Drosophila melanogaster: one gene and its partner. The gene in region 2 interacts genetically with the main gene of each other region. Each region holds a gene or a part of one and is shown on either strand. Other genes may lie near its edges.

Region 1 (8,928 bases), on a different chromosome or scaffold from region 2:
CAGTGTTGCCTAATGCTTAAAATGCAATTATAAGAGCGACTCTAGTGCAAGAAACGAGTAATCGATTCTGGTTCGATAGGCAACGACTTCGATAAGGCGCAAATTAAACTAGTTGTAAAGGTTTTACGCTATATGTTGTATGCAAGAAAATCAACATAATTTAGCTATAAATATAGGCTACACTTATTTTTAATTATAAGTCCAAATTTCTTAGTGCATAGGAGTGGAATAACTAATTTTATATCAGTTTTTGGAATGCCCCTAACATGTCCGTGGTATTATTATTTAGTAACGTCAGGGTCACACTTTTGTTTTGTTTTGCTTTGCAACTTGACTTTTAAAATTGCAATTGCAGCATGGCCGAAGAACCCGAGGAACCCGCCAAGGTATGGATTACATAAATCTATTGGACATCAGGTGCCTGATTAAGCTTTAACTATGTTTAATCTCCCATAGAGCTTCGTTATCTTCGGACGCGATGTGGCGCAGATCCCGTGCTTTCGTAACAGTTTTCTCTACGGAATCAGCGGAGGAATCGGCATCGGCTTGCTGACTTTTCTGGGCACCTCGCGAACCCACCTGTCCACCCACGTGGGCTTCGGCTCCTTCTTCTGCGGCACCATCGCCTACTGGATGACCTGCAGGTAAGTGACTGTGATTAAAACCGTGCGGCGCCCTTATCACTTAATTATCAATGTGGCATCCGCAGGTATCAATGGTCCGTCAGGAGATTCGAGCAGCAGCAATTGCGTGAGGCGATGAGACGACAAGCCCTTTATGAGGGCACCCAAAGGGAGAGAGACTTAGATCTGAAGTCGGCGTAGCATAAGTCAGATCCTTCATTACTACTTCGATGTTTGTTTTCACTCTAGGATACCAAGTAATCCTGGCATTGTTAAATCCCTTGTGTTGTAAACTACCTTTTGTTACCAAACTTTATAGTAGCCAATATATTATATATATGTTGTAAGTGAAATCTTAGCTTGCCACTCGTAGGGAATTAATTATGCCACCATCTTTGATTTGGGATTGACAGAAATCAATCCATCATTTTAATGATTGTGGTTCCTAAAACCTGTTGGGCTTTATTGTGCTTTCGATTTGATTTAAGCTGATAGAGCTAGTTGTTTACTTTTGAAGAACCTTGAACCCATTTTGACGACCTTTTAACTTTTTAATAGTTTTTTTTTACCATTTACATAAAAGCAAAATTTACAGTCTAAAAGTTGTATATTCAATACGTTCTGGTACGTAAAAGGGTTATTTAATGCACCATTTTTACAACTTTAGATAGTATACTTTTTACTTGAGTGGGAGCCATATCACAAAAATGAAATGAAAGGTTAAAAAAGTATCTAAAAGTAAGTTTCAATTAATATTCTGAAAAATAATTGCATTTCATGTACGTTTCTCTGAAATACCCCTAATTCGATACTATTTATAAATCTGGAAGATATATAGCTAGGAAATAGATTTATATATTTGCCTAGTTTGAACACCTTGTGAACATTTTGTTTAAAAAAAAAGCGTATCGTGGTACTAGAAAACTTTAAGATACAGATAAATAACTTCACTATACCGAGGTTTTGGTGTTTCTTGAGACTGAAGGACAATCTTCAAAATGGTCTTAATTCTTGAGATAGAAAAGCTGCAGTTCTCATGCTGAATAGTGATCAGTACGATTTTATCTGACAGATTGCTTTCCTAGCTGACCACACCGATCTCGGATGGGTATCTGCTCTAATCCGAGATAGCAGGTAGTAGAACTGCTGCCTCGTAACCCCTAGACATGGCCATTTCCACGCACATGTAGGCGATCCTGCACTCGTCGGTCGCTCGTCTTATCTCACAAAAATAAAAGTCGGCGTTTGGATGGATTGCTCGGCTGGCTGTTGGCACATTCATTACGTTTTCGTTGACGGCGCGAGACGGTTGTGTTGTTTTTTAATCGGCGGGCACATGAGGTTGTCGGTTCTCTAATTTTGAAATAAAAAACTTGTTTTCGCTTTACATTCAAGGAACGCACCTCCTCCCCTCCATATATGTAAACGAGCTTCGTAATTGCAGGCTAACACTTATATAGGCATTGGTACTGAGATACAGCGAGATACCGTGAGCTACAGATACATAGCACTTCACGATGTCTAACTCGGTTTTGGTGTTTTTCGTGAATGGAAAGAAGGTACTTAAAGATACTCGGATGCCTTGCGTGTCTTTCCTTAAAGTCGGCCCACTCCTACTATATCGATTCCCTTTATTGTTTTATTGCCCTAATTGCGTTTAACTGGCATTCGATGGAATTTGCCTTCTTGCTCAATTGAATGTGTCGAATGTATATAGTATTTGCTGTGCATATAGTGATAACAATTGACCCCCATGTGAAGCCTCGTTGTTTGCTGGTGGCCCCTTATCGCCCGATCAAGATGGTGCACTTGCCAATCGCGCATGGGAGCAGTGCTACTCGGATGTGGGTGAGCTGGGATCGTCATGGGCATTTGTGTCTGCCAGATAGCCAGGCCCTCTAATCCGCACATTCCCACCGGCTGTGCGGTGTTTACAATCCAGTGAGCTCGGCTGGATTATTCAGATAAAGCTGGCCATATTTAGCATCTGGTGTTGGTGGAGTGCAGTTGGAGTTCTTTACTTTGTGCTCACAGCTTGCGCACAAGTGAAGTAAATAATAATAAATAACCAGTTGCTCGTGCGCCCGGCATTTGATAGTGATAGATAGCAATCTCTGTTTGCTCAGGGCTGGCAGAGCAGATAACACTTTCGCTGTTTTAAGTTTAAACAAAGTCACAGTTTTGACAAACAATTGCTTTAAACCATATAAACTTATAATTATAGCAATTATAATTAAGTAGGTACAGATCTTAAAGCTACAAGATACAAGATACAAATTTTCCCATTAATGGATAAATGGCATTAGATACTTTTGGGAAATTGATTTCGTTTTTTTCATTTTATTATATTTATACATTTCTTATTCCAGGTGACCGAAGTGTCGCCTGATCCGGAGTGCACGCTCCTCACATTCCTGCGCGAAAAGCTGCGGCTGTGCGGAACGAAGTTGGGATGTGCGGAAGGCGGATGCGGCGCCTGCACCGTGATGGTGTCCCGCCTAGACCGTCGGGCCAACAAGATACGTCACCTGGCGGTCAACGCCTGCCTGACGCCAGTGTGCTCGATGCACGGATGTGCGGTGACCACTGTGGAGGGTATAGGGAGCACCAAAACGCGTCTGCATCCGGTGCAGGAGCGACTGGCCAAGGCGCACGGATCCCAGTGCGGCTTCTGCACGCCGGGCATTGTGATGTCCATGTACGCACTTCTGCGGAACGCGGAGCAACCCTCTATGCGAGACTTGGAGGTGGCATTCCAAGGTAACCTGTGCCGCTGCACCGGCTATCGACCCATTCTCGAGGGCTACAAGACGTTCACCAAGGAGTTTGCCTGCGGAATGGGCGAGAAGTGCTGCAAAGTTAGTGGGAAAGGATGCGGAACCGATGCGGAGACCGATGACAAGCTCTTCGAGCGCAGCGAATTCCAGCCCTTGGATCCCAGCCAGGAACCCATCTTCCCACCGGAACTTCAGCTGAGTGACGCCTTCGATTCTCAGAGTTTGATCTTTAGTTCGGATAGGGTGACCTGGTATCGTCCCACCAATCTGGAGGAGCTGCTTCAGCTGAAGGCCAAACATCCGGCTGCCAAGCTGGTCGTGGGCAATACGGAAGTGGGCGTTGAGGTTAAGTTCAAGCACTTCCTCTACCCGCACCTCATTAATCCCACCCAGGTGAAGGAGCTGCTGGAGATCAAAGAGAACCAGGATGGCATTTACTTCGGTGCGGCTGTCAGTTTGATGGAGATCGATGCGCTTCTGCGGCAGAGAATCGAGCAGCTGCCGGAATCGGAGACCAGATTGTTCCAGTGCACCGTGGATATGCTTCACTACTTTGCCGGCAAGCAGATCCGCAACGTCGCCTGTTTGGGTGGAAACATCATGACCGGTAGTCCCATTTCCGATATGAATCCTGTGCTCTCGGCAGCAGGAGCTCAACTGGAGGTGGCCAGTTTTGTGGATGGAAAGCTCCAAAAGAGATCAGTTCACATGGGAACTGGGTTCTTCACTGGCTATCGCAGGAATGTTATCGAAGCCCACGAGGTGCTGCTGGGCATCCACTTTCGGAAGACCACTCCGGACCAGTATATCGTTGCTTTTAAGCAGGCCAGGAGAAGGGATGATGACATAGCCATCGTAAATGCCGCAATAAACGTTCGCTTTGAGGAAAAATCCAACATTGTGGCGGAGATCTCGATGGCTTTTGGTGGAATGGCACCAACCACAGTGCTCGCTCCTCGAACTTCCCAACTGATGGTTGGGCAGGAGTGGAGCCACCAGCTCGTGGAGCGCGTGGCGGAGAGCTTGTGCACGGAGCTGCCTTTGGCTGCCTCCGCTCCGGGTGGCATGATCGCCTATCGTCGAGCTCTGGTGGTGAGCCTGTTCTTCAAGGCCTATCTGGCCATTTCCCTGAAGCTGAGCAAGTCAGGGATCACATCTTCCGATGCTCTGCCATCGGAGGAGCGAAGTGGTGCCGAGACATTCCACACACCAGTACTCAAAAGTGCCCAGCTCTTCGAGCGCGTCTGCAGCGATCAACCCATCTGTGATCCCATTGGGAGACCAAAAGTTCATGCGGCTGCTTTGAAACAGGCCACTGGTGAAGCTATCTACACAGATGACATTCCCCGCATGGATGGTGAAGTTTATCTGGCCTTTGTCCTTAGTACCAAGCCACGTGCCAAGATCACCAAGCTGGATGCCAGTGAAGCTCTGGCCCTGGACGGAGTGCATCAGTTCTTTTGCTACAAGGACTTAACGGAGCACGAGAACGAAGTGGGACCCGTCTTTCATGATGAGCACGTCTTTGCTGCTGGAGAAGTGCATTGCTATGGTCAGATAGTGGGCGCCATAGCTGCCGATAATAAGGCGTTGGCCCAAAGAGCCGCTCGGCTAGTGAAAGTGGAGTACGAGGAGCTGAGCCCGGTTATCGTGACCATAGAGCAGGCCATCGAGCACAAGTCCTATTTCCCGGACTACCCTCGATTCGTGACCAAGGGCAATGTGGAGGAGGCTTTAGCCCAGGCGGATCACACTTTCGAGGGCACCTGTCGAATGGGCGGACAGGAGCACTTCTATCTGGAGACCCATGCTGCATTGGCGGTACCTCGTGACAGCGATGAGCTGGAACTCTTTTGCTCCACGCAGCATCCCTCGGAGGTGCAGAAGCTAGTGGCCCATGTAACCGCACTTCCTGCCCACCGTGTCGTCTGTCGTGCCAAGCGTTTGGGAGGCGGTTTCGGCGGCAAGGAGTCCAGAGGCATCTCCGTGGCCCTACCCGTTGCCCTGGCCGCCTATCGAATGGGTCGTCCTGTGCGCTGTATGTTGGATCGCGATGAGGACATGCTTATCACCGGCACCAGGCATCCCTTCCTCTTCAAATACAAAGTGGGCTTCACCAAGGAGGGTCTGATCACTGCCTGCGACATTGAGTGCTACAACAATGCCGGTTGGTCCATGGATCTGTCATTTTCGGTAAGAGTGGTGGGTTTATGGAAAATCCATATGTAGGTTTCTTTATGCATACCATGTTTGCTCAAATATCCATGTGTTGTATTTTCCATTGAACATCTGGTTAGTGTGGGAATTTCTAGGACCCCTATATGTTATCATCCTGAGTGCAAATAGTTTGAAACTTTTAAGAATGTTTAGGTCTAATCAGGAAAGCAAGCACCAGGATTATATTGACATAAACAATTATAAATAATAATCTAAAAATTCTTAAAAATGATCTAATATATAAATCCTATGTTTAGGTTCTTGAGCGCGCCATGTTCCACTTTGAGAATTGCTACAGGATTCCCAACGTTCGCGTGGGTGGATGGGTCTGCAAGACGAACCTGCCCTCGAATACGGCCTTCCGTGGATTTGGAGGACCACAAGGCATGTACGCCGGTGAGCATATCATCCGGGATGTGGCCCGGATAGTGGGTCGCGATGTGGTGGATGTGATGCGGCTGAACTTCTACAAGACTGGAGACTACACACACTACCACCAGCAGCTGGAGCACTTCCCCATCGAGCGGTGTCTGGAGGATTGCTTGAAGCAGTCGAGATACGACGAGAAGCGGCAGGAGATTGCTCGATTCAATCGGGAGAATCGCTGGCGGAAACGCGGCATGGCGGTGGTGCCTACCAAGTATGGAATCGCATTTGGAGTGATGCACTTGAACCAAGCGGGATCGCTGATCAACATCTATGGTGATGGATCCGTGTTGCTTTCGCACGGAGGAGTTGAGATCGGACAAGGTCTGAATACCAAGATGATTCAGTGCGCCGCCAGGGCTCTGGGGATTCCTTCGGAACTGATTCACATTTCGGAAACGGCCACGGATAAAGTACCCAACACTTCACCCACGGCGGCGAGTGTGGGATCCGATTTGAACGGAATGGCCGTACTGGATGCGTGTGAAAAGTTGAACAAAAGACTGGCGCCCATCAAGGAGGCATTGCCTGGAGGCACCTGGAAGGAGTGGATCAACAAGGCGTATTTCGATCGGGTCAGCCTCTCGGCCACAGGATTCTATGCCATGCCCGGGATTGGATATCACCCGGAAACGAATCCCAATGCCCGCACCTATAGCTACTACACGAATGGCGTGGGAGTCACTGTGGTAGAGATCGATTGCCTGACTGGCGACCATCAGGTGCTCAGCACAGACATCGTAATGGACATCGGTTCCAGCCTGAATCCGGCTATTGACATTGGTCAGATCGAGGGAGCATTCATGCAGGGCTATGGACTGTTCACTTTGGAGGAACTCATGTACTCACCACAAGGCATGCTTTACTCCAGAGGTCCGGGCATGTATAAGCTGCCAGGATTTGCCGACATTCCCGGGGAGTTCAATGTCAGCCTACTGACCGGTGCCCCCAATCCACGGGCAGTCTACTCTTCCAAGGCAGTGGGTGAACCTCCGCTCTTCATTGGATCATCTGCATTCTTTGCCATTAAGGAGGCCATTGCAGCTGCTCGCGAGGATCAGGGCTTGAGTGGTGACTTCCCACTGGAGGCGCCTTCCACATCGGCACGCATTCGAATTGCTTGTCAGGATAAGTTCACGGAACTGGTAAGTTACCCTTGGATTAGTTTATAACATTAAACTAACTTTTATTATTAATTTATTAATTATAGCTTGAAATACCCGAACCAGGATCATTTACGCCATGGAACATTGTGCCTTAAAATTGTTTTTATTGTTTGTACTGCTTAAGCATTTAAAATGACGATTTTATTTGTTAATTTGTTTATATATACATAGTGAATTAAATGTTTTAAAAATAATTGAGTCGTTTAATGTGTAAACTAAGCTGGAGAGCTGTTTGAACAAATTTATATACCACTGATTAATATTAAATATTCCTTTTAGATTAAGAAAAATTCAATGGTTACTTTTTTGTTCTATCTATTATTCAATAGAATCTCGTGGCATGCAATGCATTCTGATTTTCAATTGAAAAGTCTTAGTCACTATTTATTTTGAGTATATTAATGAAAGTTGAGCAAGTTTTCCGATGAATTGAAATATGAGTTCCGATTTCGGCGCGACTGCTAACCGAAAATATAAGCTCAATCAAAAGAAGCTTTGTATGGAACTCAGGTTATGAGACGAGATCTTCGCGAGCATCTCAGTCGGCAATCTGACGTCGTAGAGCTCGGACATCCGAGATGGGAAAGCTATCATTTGGATACAGATTGATTTTAGAGTTCGTCTTAATTTCGACGTTAGCGTTCGTATCGGCAGAACAATTGTTGCTATCACTACAACCATTATTACAATAGATATGCACAGAATGCGCCTTGGAACGCAGTGGCTCCATCGTATCTATCGATTGACATATACGGAAATTGCCAAGCCCACGATCGTCCGCTGATTGGTAAGTGTGTGCGGTACGTGGATTGCATTAGTGCCATGCAGGCAGTGCCCCGGGTGACACCACTACTCTGTCCGTCATCGTGGCCCAATCAGTTGGTTTGCTGTCCACACGGCGGATACTTGTTGCCGCCGCCCAGCATCTCGAAGAGCGAACAAGGTGCGTATGAAAGGAATTCAGAGAATCCAGAACTTATATCTTTTGCCAGCCTGTGCCAATGCCTATCCAAGAGCTCATCACAAGCGCCGTCGACGCCGTCGGAATACGAACCCTAAACTGGATCAAGTGGAACTAGTTGAGCCAATTATACAAAAGCACAATCAGAGCCAGAATTTACTGGTGGGCGGCAGACTCACCCAGGAGAACGAGCATCCGTATATGGTGAGTTTTAAGCAATTAGGAAAACAGTCCAAAATCTAACCTTATGAAACTTATTTGCCTTTGAAACAGTAAAAAATTAGCAATCTGATATTGTAAGCCATTTGGTAGATTAATAAAGATTTACATTCGATTCAATTACAGTGCGCCCTCGGTTGGCCGTCCCGCACAAACAGATGGATTCATGAGCACGGTTCCAGCAAGCGCAGATACACGTTCAACTGTGGCTGCGCCATGATTGCGCCTCGGTTCGCCATAACGGCAGCACACTGTGCCAGCGTCGGTGGGTAAGCAAAAAAAAATAAATAAAAATGAAAAACAAAACCAAAGAAAACACTCGAAATGCTAATGGGTTAAAAATATCTTGAATTCGAGCAGGGAATCCCCGTCAGTGGCGTTGATTGGTGGCGTTGAGCTGAACAGCGGTCGCGGGCAATTGATTGAGATCAAGCGAATTAGCCAGCATCCGCACTTCGATGCGGAGACCCTTACCAATGACCTGGCGGTGGTCAAGTTGGCCAGAAGATCACACATGCCAGTGGCCTGCCTGTGGAACC
Region 2 (6,757 bases):
TCCCATTAAATGTATCTCGCGGATATTTTATGCGCCATCTTACGGAGTTCACATCCACCGTTGCATTACCATATCTCTACCGTAATCGCTGAATTTTACATGGTTTACTTTGTGTGCGCTTTTTGAACCTATATATGTTATATTCCGCTGAATATCGGTCGGGTCGACTAATGGTTCTGTTTGGGCTTGTTGTTGCTGTCGCCGGCTACGGATTGCTACTGAACTAGCGATCGGCGGCAAAAGGTGTCGCAAGTTGTGCCCCCAGGTAGCTCCACTCCCTCTCACTCGCTCCCAATGCCACCTGGTCCCCCTCCCCTCCCCTCCCTCCCACTCGAGCGCAGGTAAACAGAAAAGAGCGCAGGCAAAACAAATGGGCTAAACAAAAGCAGTGCTCAGATAACTTTTTTCTCTCACGCGGTATCGCTGCCTAAGCGCAAACAACTGATATTAGAAGCGACAGCCCGGCACTGAGAGAAATAAGTAGTGAAAAGAAATATCAAATGCTTAATGAGTCTTTTAAATAGATGTCTTATCTTATCGTTTCTTAAAAGGATGAATGCGTTATATTATTGTCTTTATCTTATCTTTCAAAAGGATGACTGAGTTACATTGTGATTTTTAGCACTCCTAACGGCAACAATTTTTTTTAAGTGGATCAGCGGAAATTCCCGCAAGTAGTAAAGCATTTTAAATCTAATCATAAAATAATTATGAGGTAAAACGAGTATGTTGCAATTGATAACCCAGTCAACGCCACTCAAGCAGGGTATTCGATCACCAACTTTTTAAATCACTTTTTCCACACGCACTTTTCCATGCTGCACACTATTTATTAGAAATGTATTATTAATATTTCCTCACGCAGCCCGCTGACCACTCCAATTGCCCAATGAATATAGGAGCATTATACCGGATATATGTACATATGTGTACATGTGTATATATTACAATGGCCATGCTGCAATAGTTGCATGTCTGCCAATTAATGACCGACGAGAGAAAACCGAATTAAAACCAAAACTGAAACGAATGGAAATAAATTCAGTGCAATGCATTTCACCTGTGTGACGTCATTTGCGAGCGAGAGGGGAAGCTTTCTGTGCAACAGCCAATACTTTTTTTTAGCTTTTTGTTCTACTTTGACTACCATTTTAATGCCAATGACCCAAGCGGATAACTAGTGACAATGGCCTGTGTTGTAGACACAAAACCCACGACTAATTGTGTGCTCATCTGATCTTTTGTTCTAACGCCATTTACAAGTTGCCTGATCCAGATTTTCAGGAAGATCACGTTCACAGCTATCGAATTTTGATATATTACCAAATTTGAAGCCCGCTGTTTTAGCCACATTACAACGTTTGCCACGCTAGTCCAATCTATGGCCATATAAATCTCAGCCTTACGCTCACCTTTGTACTCTCCTTATCGTTGTTTACTTTAGGGTTATTAACGAATTTTACATTTTAGAAGTTGTTCGAAAATGGCAATTTATTCTGTACGGCATACTATATACTATATGTGTTTTACATATTTTCTCCCCATACAATATGCCTACATATCATTGCCACTATCATTATGCCAACAACCATAACAATAACAATATCAGAGACAGGTTCGGTAGCACTCGCAGTCCAATTTAGATAATTTTCCACTGGACATTTCAGTTTAAGCGGTACGAAAGCCGGAAGCTGCTCATATGAGCATATCTCCTCTGTTCGTATAATAGATTTATCTTTTTTATCATAATTTGTTTACGGGCACTGCCGATGACTGTCATTTGTCGCACATATAGATTTGCGTATGTGGAGCTCGTACTAACTCCCTTCCATTCACAGTGACTAATTTACTAAATTTGGTTTCTTTTATTTACACTTTATTCACTTTATTTTCTCTTCAAGTTCCAATTGCCTGTTATCACGTAGGGAACATTTACCCATTCGCCTAATCTTATCACTCACTACTTCACGCACACGGGGAATTCAGCAAAGGTAAAATAGGTAAAAGTCTTATTGACTTTTTGACGAAAAATGGAAATAAGTCTTGAGTTAAACTAAATGCTGAAACGTGCTCAATATAATTCCGCTGATTTCTGAATTGATTATGGGGGTAGTCACTTTGGAATTACCGATTTTATGATGGCTTTGTTTCTTTGTACACCTGTTTCCTCGGCCGGTAAACGCGCTACTAACGAAATCCCCAATGATCGTGGTCAGTGATGCCGCTTTAGCCATGAATATTATCTTCAAAAAAGATTTTAAAGTTGGATGTTTCTACTAACAACTCACTTTTGCCCTGAAAATATATATATTCTTTTTTTTTGCCAAAATATTTTATTTTTTAGATAATTTCCTTATAAAGGCACGACATCACTAGTAAGTCATTTACCTTTCCCATCCAATACACAAACCAACTTTGAGCTTGAGTGCCATCGAGCTTTTTGTTGGTTAAAAGGGGTTAAACGCAGTTGTTGGTAGTTTTGCGTTAAACAAAGAGTTTAAGCTACATTATATTGAAATGTAACGCCTAAAAAAATAGATTTATTGTAAAGTAGCCCTTCACAAAAATATTTCGTATTAAAAGTGACAAAATGTATCAAAAGCCTGCCAGTTTTTTATTTCAATTACATTACTGGCTCCTATTTTGGTTTCTACTACATTTACTAGTTTTCAAACTTATTTTTGAAAGACCGCTTGTAACGGTCGATAGTCATTATTGTTAACCCGATAGAGCTGCACAAATATTATCGATATATTATTGGTATTTTCCAACTGCCCGGATGGATTTTCGATGACTGTGGCTGCAGTCACACTGAGTCGGGAAAATAATTATTTATTAAAAATTCGTGGACCCGCGCTGTACATCTGTGTCTGTGCTGTTCGCTCCGCTCCAAGTGCGGCAAAAAGCAACCAAGAAGGCAGGCAGCCCAATCGGTAATTTACGGCGGAGTAGTGAGGCGATATACGGAAATCGCGACCAGTGCACGTGCAATTGTGAATCGTTCTCGATTTTCCCGACCCGCACCCTTTCTTCTCTTTCGACCATTGTGACTGTGCACAATTAACTTGCATACATACGTGTATGTATGTACACACTCTGTTTGTATGTATGCGTGCCACCCCCAATTGAGGCGGAAAAAGGAGAAGCAAAGGAATTTCTGCAAAATCCAAGATGCCCATGCTATTTTCACTATTTTATTTTGCCAACTTTTCAGTCGACACTTTGCTCTTGCAGCAACAAAGCCAACAACGGCGAAAATTGGAAGTTATTTTCTTTTCTTTCTCCACTCTTTTTATCGCAAAACAACAGCAACACTGCCCGTGCACCGCTCTCCCCGCTCCCACTTGCGTCCTTGTTAATACAGTGAATATCGGCTAGCCACAAACAGGGGAAATACAAAGAATCTTAATTTGCATTTGTATGGTTGATAAAAAGTCAACTTATCAACTTATCTAAATCGTCAAACCAAAGTGACTTATACATTTGTAAACATTTTTAAGCGTTTTCCCTGTTTTAATTGCGAAAATAGTAAAGATATCGTGTTTTATTTTTATCAACAGTGCAGCGAAAGTTTTATAAAGTATACATATATTCAGTCAAATAATTATTAAAGTCCTATACTCTCCGTATACACTGGATTTGGTTTTTTATTAATTTTCAATTATGTGTATTTTGAATTTAGCCTCTTCAATTGGAGCTTAGGAACCTTAACAACCAAAGAACCGATTTCCAGACTTAAAGCTAAGGTAAGTTAAATACACCTATTATTCTTAGCCTCATTATCAATTTTTAATGAAACTTCAAAAAATAGATTGTAAGAGTGTTATATCTCTTTTCTTAGTTAAACATAATCTCGGAAATGATATCCATTATCTTACGTAGGGGATTTGCCTGCAGGAGACCTGCATCAGCATGTCTGTTATTGTTGCACGTGGGTCACCGAACTGGGCGGGTGTGGGCGTGGTCAGGTAGTAGCTGAGCATATCTGCATTTCAACAATCGATCTTAATCTGCGCTTGCTTTTGAGTTCCTTTCGTCTAGGACTTGTTATACTTGATTTATGGCCCCTTCCCGCGATTTCCCATCCTCGAAAACCGGTTGTTTTGACTTAATCATCGGTTCTCGCTGGTTATTTGATATGAAATTCTTTCTGACTCACAGCAGTTGTTTAAATTCTGGCGTGGAAATCCCGATCTTTTTCCTTATCAAGCCAAATAAATATGAAGGCTAATTTGCTATGTTTGAATTATTTTATTTAAATTACTTTTGAAAAACAAATAGGCAGTACAGCTATTAAATAGCAGGTTTTTATTTGTTAAAGCGTAATATCTTTCAGATTTTATAGATTCTAAATCTTCCCATATAGGTTTATTTTTCCTCATTAAGTCTTGCAAATTATGTTCGATTTTCTTTCTGTATCGGTTCTGAGATATTGTATGTTGCAGCGATTTTCACTGTTGCATAAAACTCTTGTATTCCGGGCCTAATTAAATCACTTTAAATGCCTGCTCGGTGTGGCTGAAATAATTCGATTTAAAGGTCAGGCACTCACCCAAGTGACTTTCCAACTCTTTTTGTTCTCGGCTCCCAGTCAGTCATCAGCGAAAATTGAGTGAGATCGAGGAGGAGGGGAAAATCAATATGTGCTAATATAATTTTGTGGCAAACAAATTAAAGCACACAGAACAGCTCGTCGTCGCTGCTCTGATTTGTTTAGCTATACGAATATGTACCATATTTATTCAGTTGATTTGGTTCAGTTTCAGTGGTGAATATTTGAGCAGCAGCATTTAATATTTGATACTGGCCAATTTGATTTGTGGGTAAGCACATTGACTACCGCCCAAAACTGAAATGCAGCCGAAAATGGGGCCAAAAGTGGGTTATGTTTGCTCCGACCACCATGCAAGCTGGCTTTGATTTACGACTGCAACTAAAGTAGGTTAACCTAGGTCCAGATAACTACTACATTCTGCTTCTCCAACGATACCATATTCTAATCTCAAAGTTGCCTGAGCTGCTGGCTTTCCAAGAGTAGAATCATGTACATGTGACCTTGACACGGTTTTCACTTGCTATGCAGGAAAAAGGGTTTCCCGCATCCACCGTACCGTATCCATTGAAATTTGATTTTGTTATTTGTTTATCGACGCCACTTCATGCAAATTGGAGAAATTCAGGTGGATATATTTTTAGCTGACACATCCATGCAATGTTTGCAAATGCATATATAGTATTCACCTTTCTGCCAGCCTGATGAAATTCTTTTGTATATTTTTCACTCTGTTCTCCGTTCTCGTGGAACTCAACCAGGTTGGACCACCCAACGCCCAGCTCCGTCTCTTACTTTGCCTTTCTCTGCGCCGCCCTTTTTCCAGAGCACCTCCGTCCGCCTTCCGTTCCCGGAGGTCGGGAAAAAGAACCGGGTTAATCGTCGCCACGTTGTCGCCGTGGAGAACAAATGACTCTTTTCGTTTGTGGGTCAACTGCAATTTTTGCCATTAATATAATTAATTGATTGCCATTTTGGTTTTAAATGTCGTAACTTTATGTGAGTGAAACGCACCTATTAAATGGGAATACTCACATAATAAAATTCAAAAGCGTTCACATCGCAAAATCTATAAGAATGCTAAAATTGTTTTCAGTGCTGCACTTCACACTTACGTAGCAAAAAGATTTACCCAATCTTAAAATTACTTTAATTCCTGCTTAATAAATCTTTCTACAAATTGCCGATCAATAAATCAACAGTGCGTCTAATTTGGCTTATCGAAATGCCCACTTTCGAGTACTTTGTACAACATTCTGTGCATAAGCGATCGATTTGCGCTTATCACCCGAATTTGTTCTTATCGCTGGGCCAAATTAAACTATGCTGGCCGCCCAGCCGTCTTTGTTTCAAAGCAACCATAGCCAAACTGGCTTAGTAACCCACATAAACACCACCGAATCCGAGTCCCAGTTGTCCGGGGGCAATTGGGCGGAGAATACCCGTTCAGTGCAACTGGAGCTGGAGAGGCCAATTAAAGCACCTGACCTAGAATATTTGTAGCCCAGTTTCGCCCGCCGAGAGTGAATATGTTTTACATGCCACCGCACTCACATTTGGATGCTCAGATCCAACCAACTCGTACTTTGAATCAGTCAACTGCGAGCTGCATGTTAAATGGTTTGAATTAATTGCGTAGGCCACGCATGTCACGTGCGCCTCACATAGGACTATATCTAACTATATGTGCATATAGTATGATATATTCCACCCCCCTTTCCACCCACAAGTCCTTGAGCAAAGCCAAGCCGGAAATTTAAAGTAAACATTCCAGATATCCCTGTTTGTATATCGAAGTTTAATGTTGTTGTAGAGCACAGCACGTACTCACGGAGCCAAGGCCAAAATGCAAGGCCTTAATGTCGGGTTACGTTTAATTTCAATTGCATTAAAAGAGACTTACTTAAGGTAGCTAAAAACAATGATTGTCGTTAAATGAAATTGACGACGAGACAGCAAGCTCTAAGTATGTGTTATAAATTACTTGATATTATGTCCGTTTTTCATGACACCTAGTTATGAAAAACATCTCAATAATCTGAGTGAGGATTAGAAATAAAATATATAAACTACTACTGTAGTAGAACTCCACAAACTTCACCATATCATTAGGTTTTCAACCAAGTGCTTTAAAACAAACGTACAAGCCACGTTTTAAGTTTTAAACGTTTTCTTGATGGCCTGTGGCAACACACGCCGCCGCCG

What was found. A genetic interaction does not mean that the proteins touch.
Region 1: of ZnT63C (region 2) and ry, changing one suppresses a phenotype caused by changing the other (phenotypic suppression), as found in Drosophila melanogaster (one study listed by BioGRID).

The regions. Positions count from the first base shown.
Region 1 is NT_033777.3:13,030,626-13,039,553, forward strand, and holds ry (rosy), read left to right. Parts: upstream 1-1,902; 5' UTR 1,903-2,140; coding exon 2,141-2,182; intron 2,183-2,992; coding exon 2,993-5,593; intron 5,594-5,874; coding exon 5,875-7,188; intron 7,189-7,253; coding exon 7,254-7,304; 3' UTR 7,305-7,395; downstream 7,396-8,928. Other genes in the region: l(3)87Df (lethal (3) 87Df), read left to right, coding at 357-386, 457-644, 710-824; CG11668 (uncharacterized protein), read left to right, coding at 7,788-7,849, 7,902-8,152, 8,202-8,374, 8,516-8,658, 8,750-8,928.
Region 2 is NT_037436.4:3,300,920-3,307,676, forward strand, and holds the start of ZnT63C (zinc transporter 63C), read left to right. Parts: upstream 1-2,788; 5' UTR 2,789-2,933; exon of another isoform or gene 2,934-3,354; intron 3,355-3,682; 5' UTR 3,683-3,746; intron 3,747-6,757.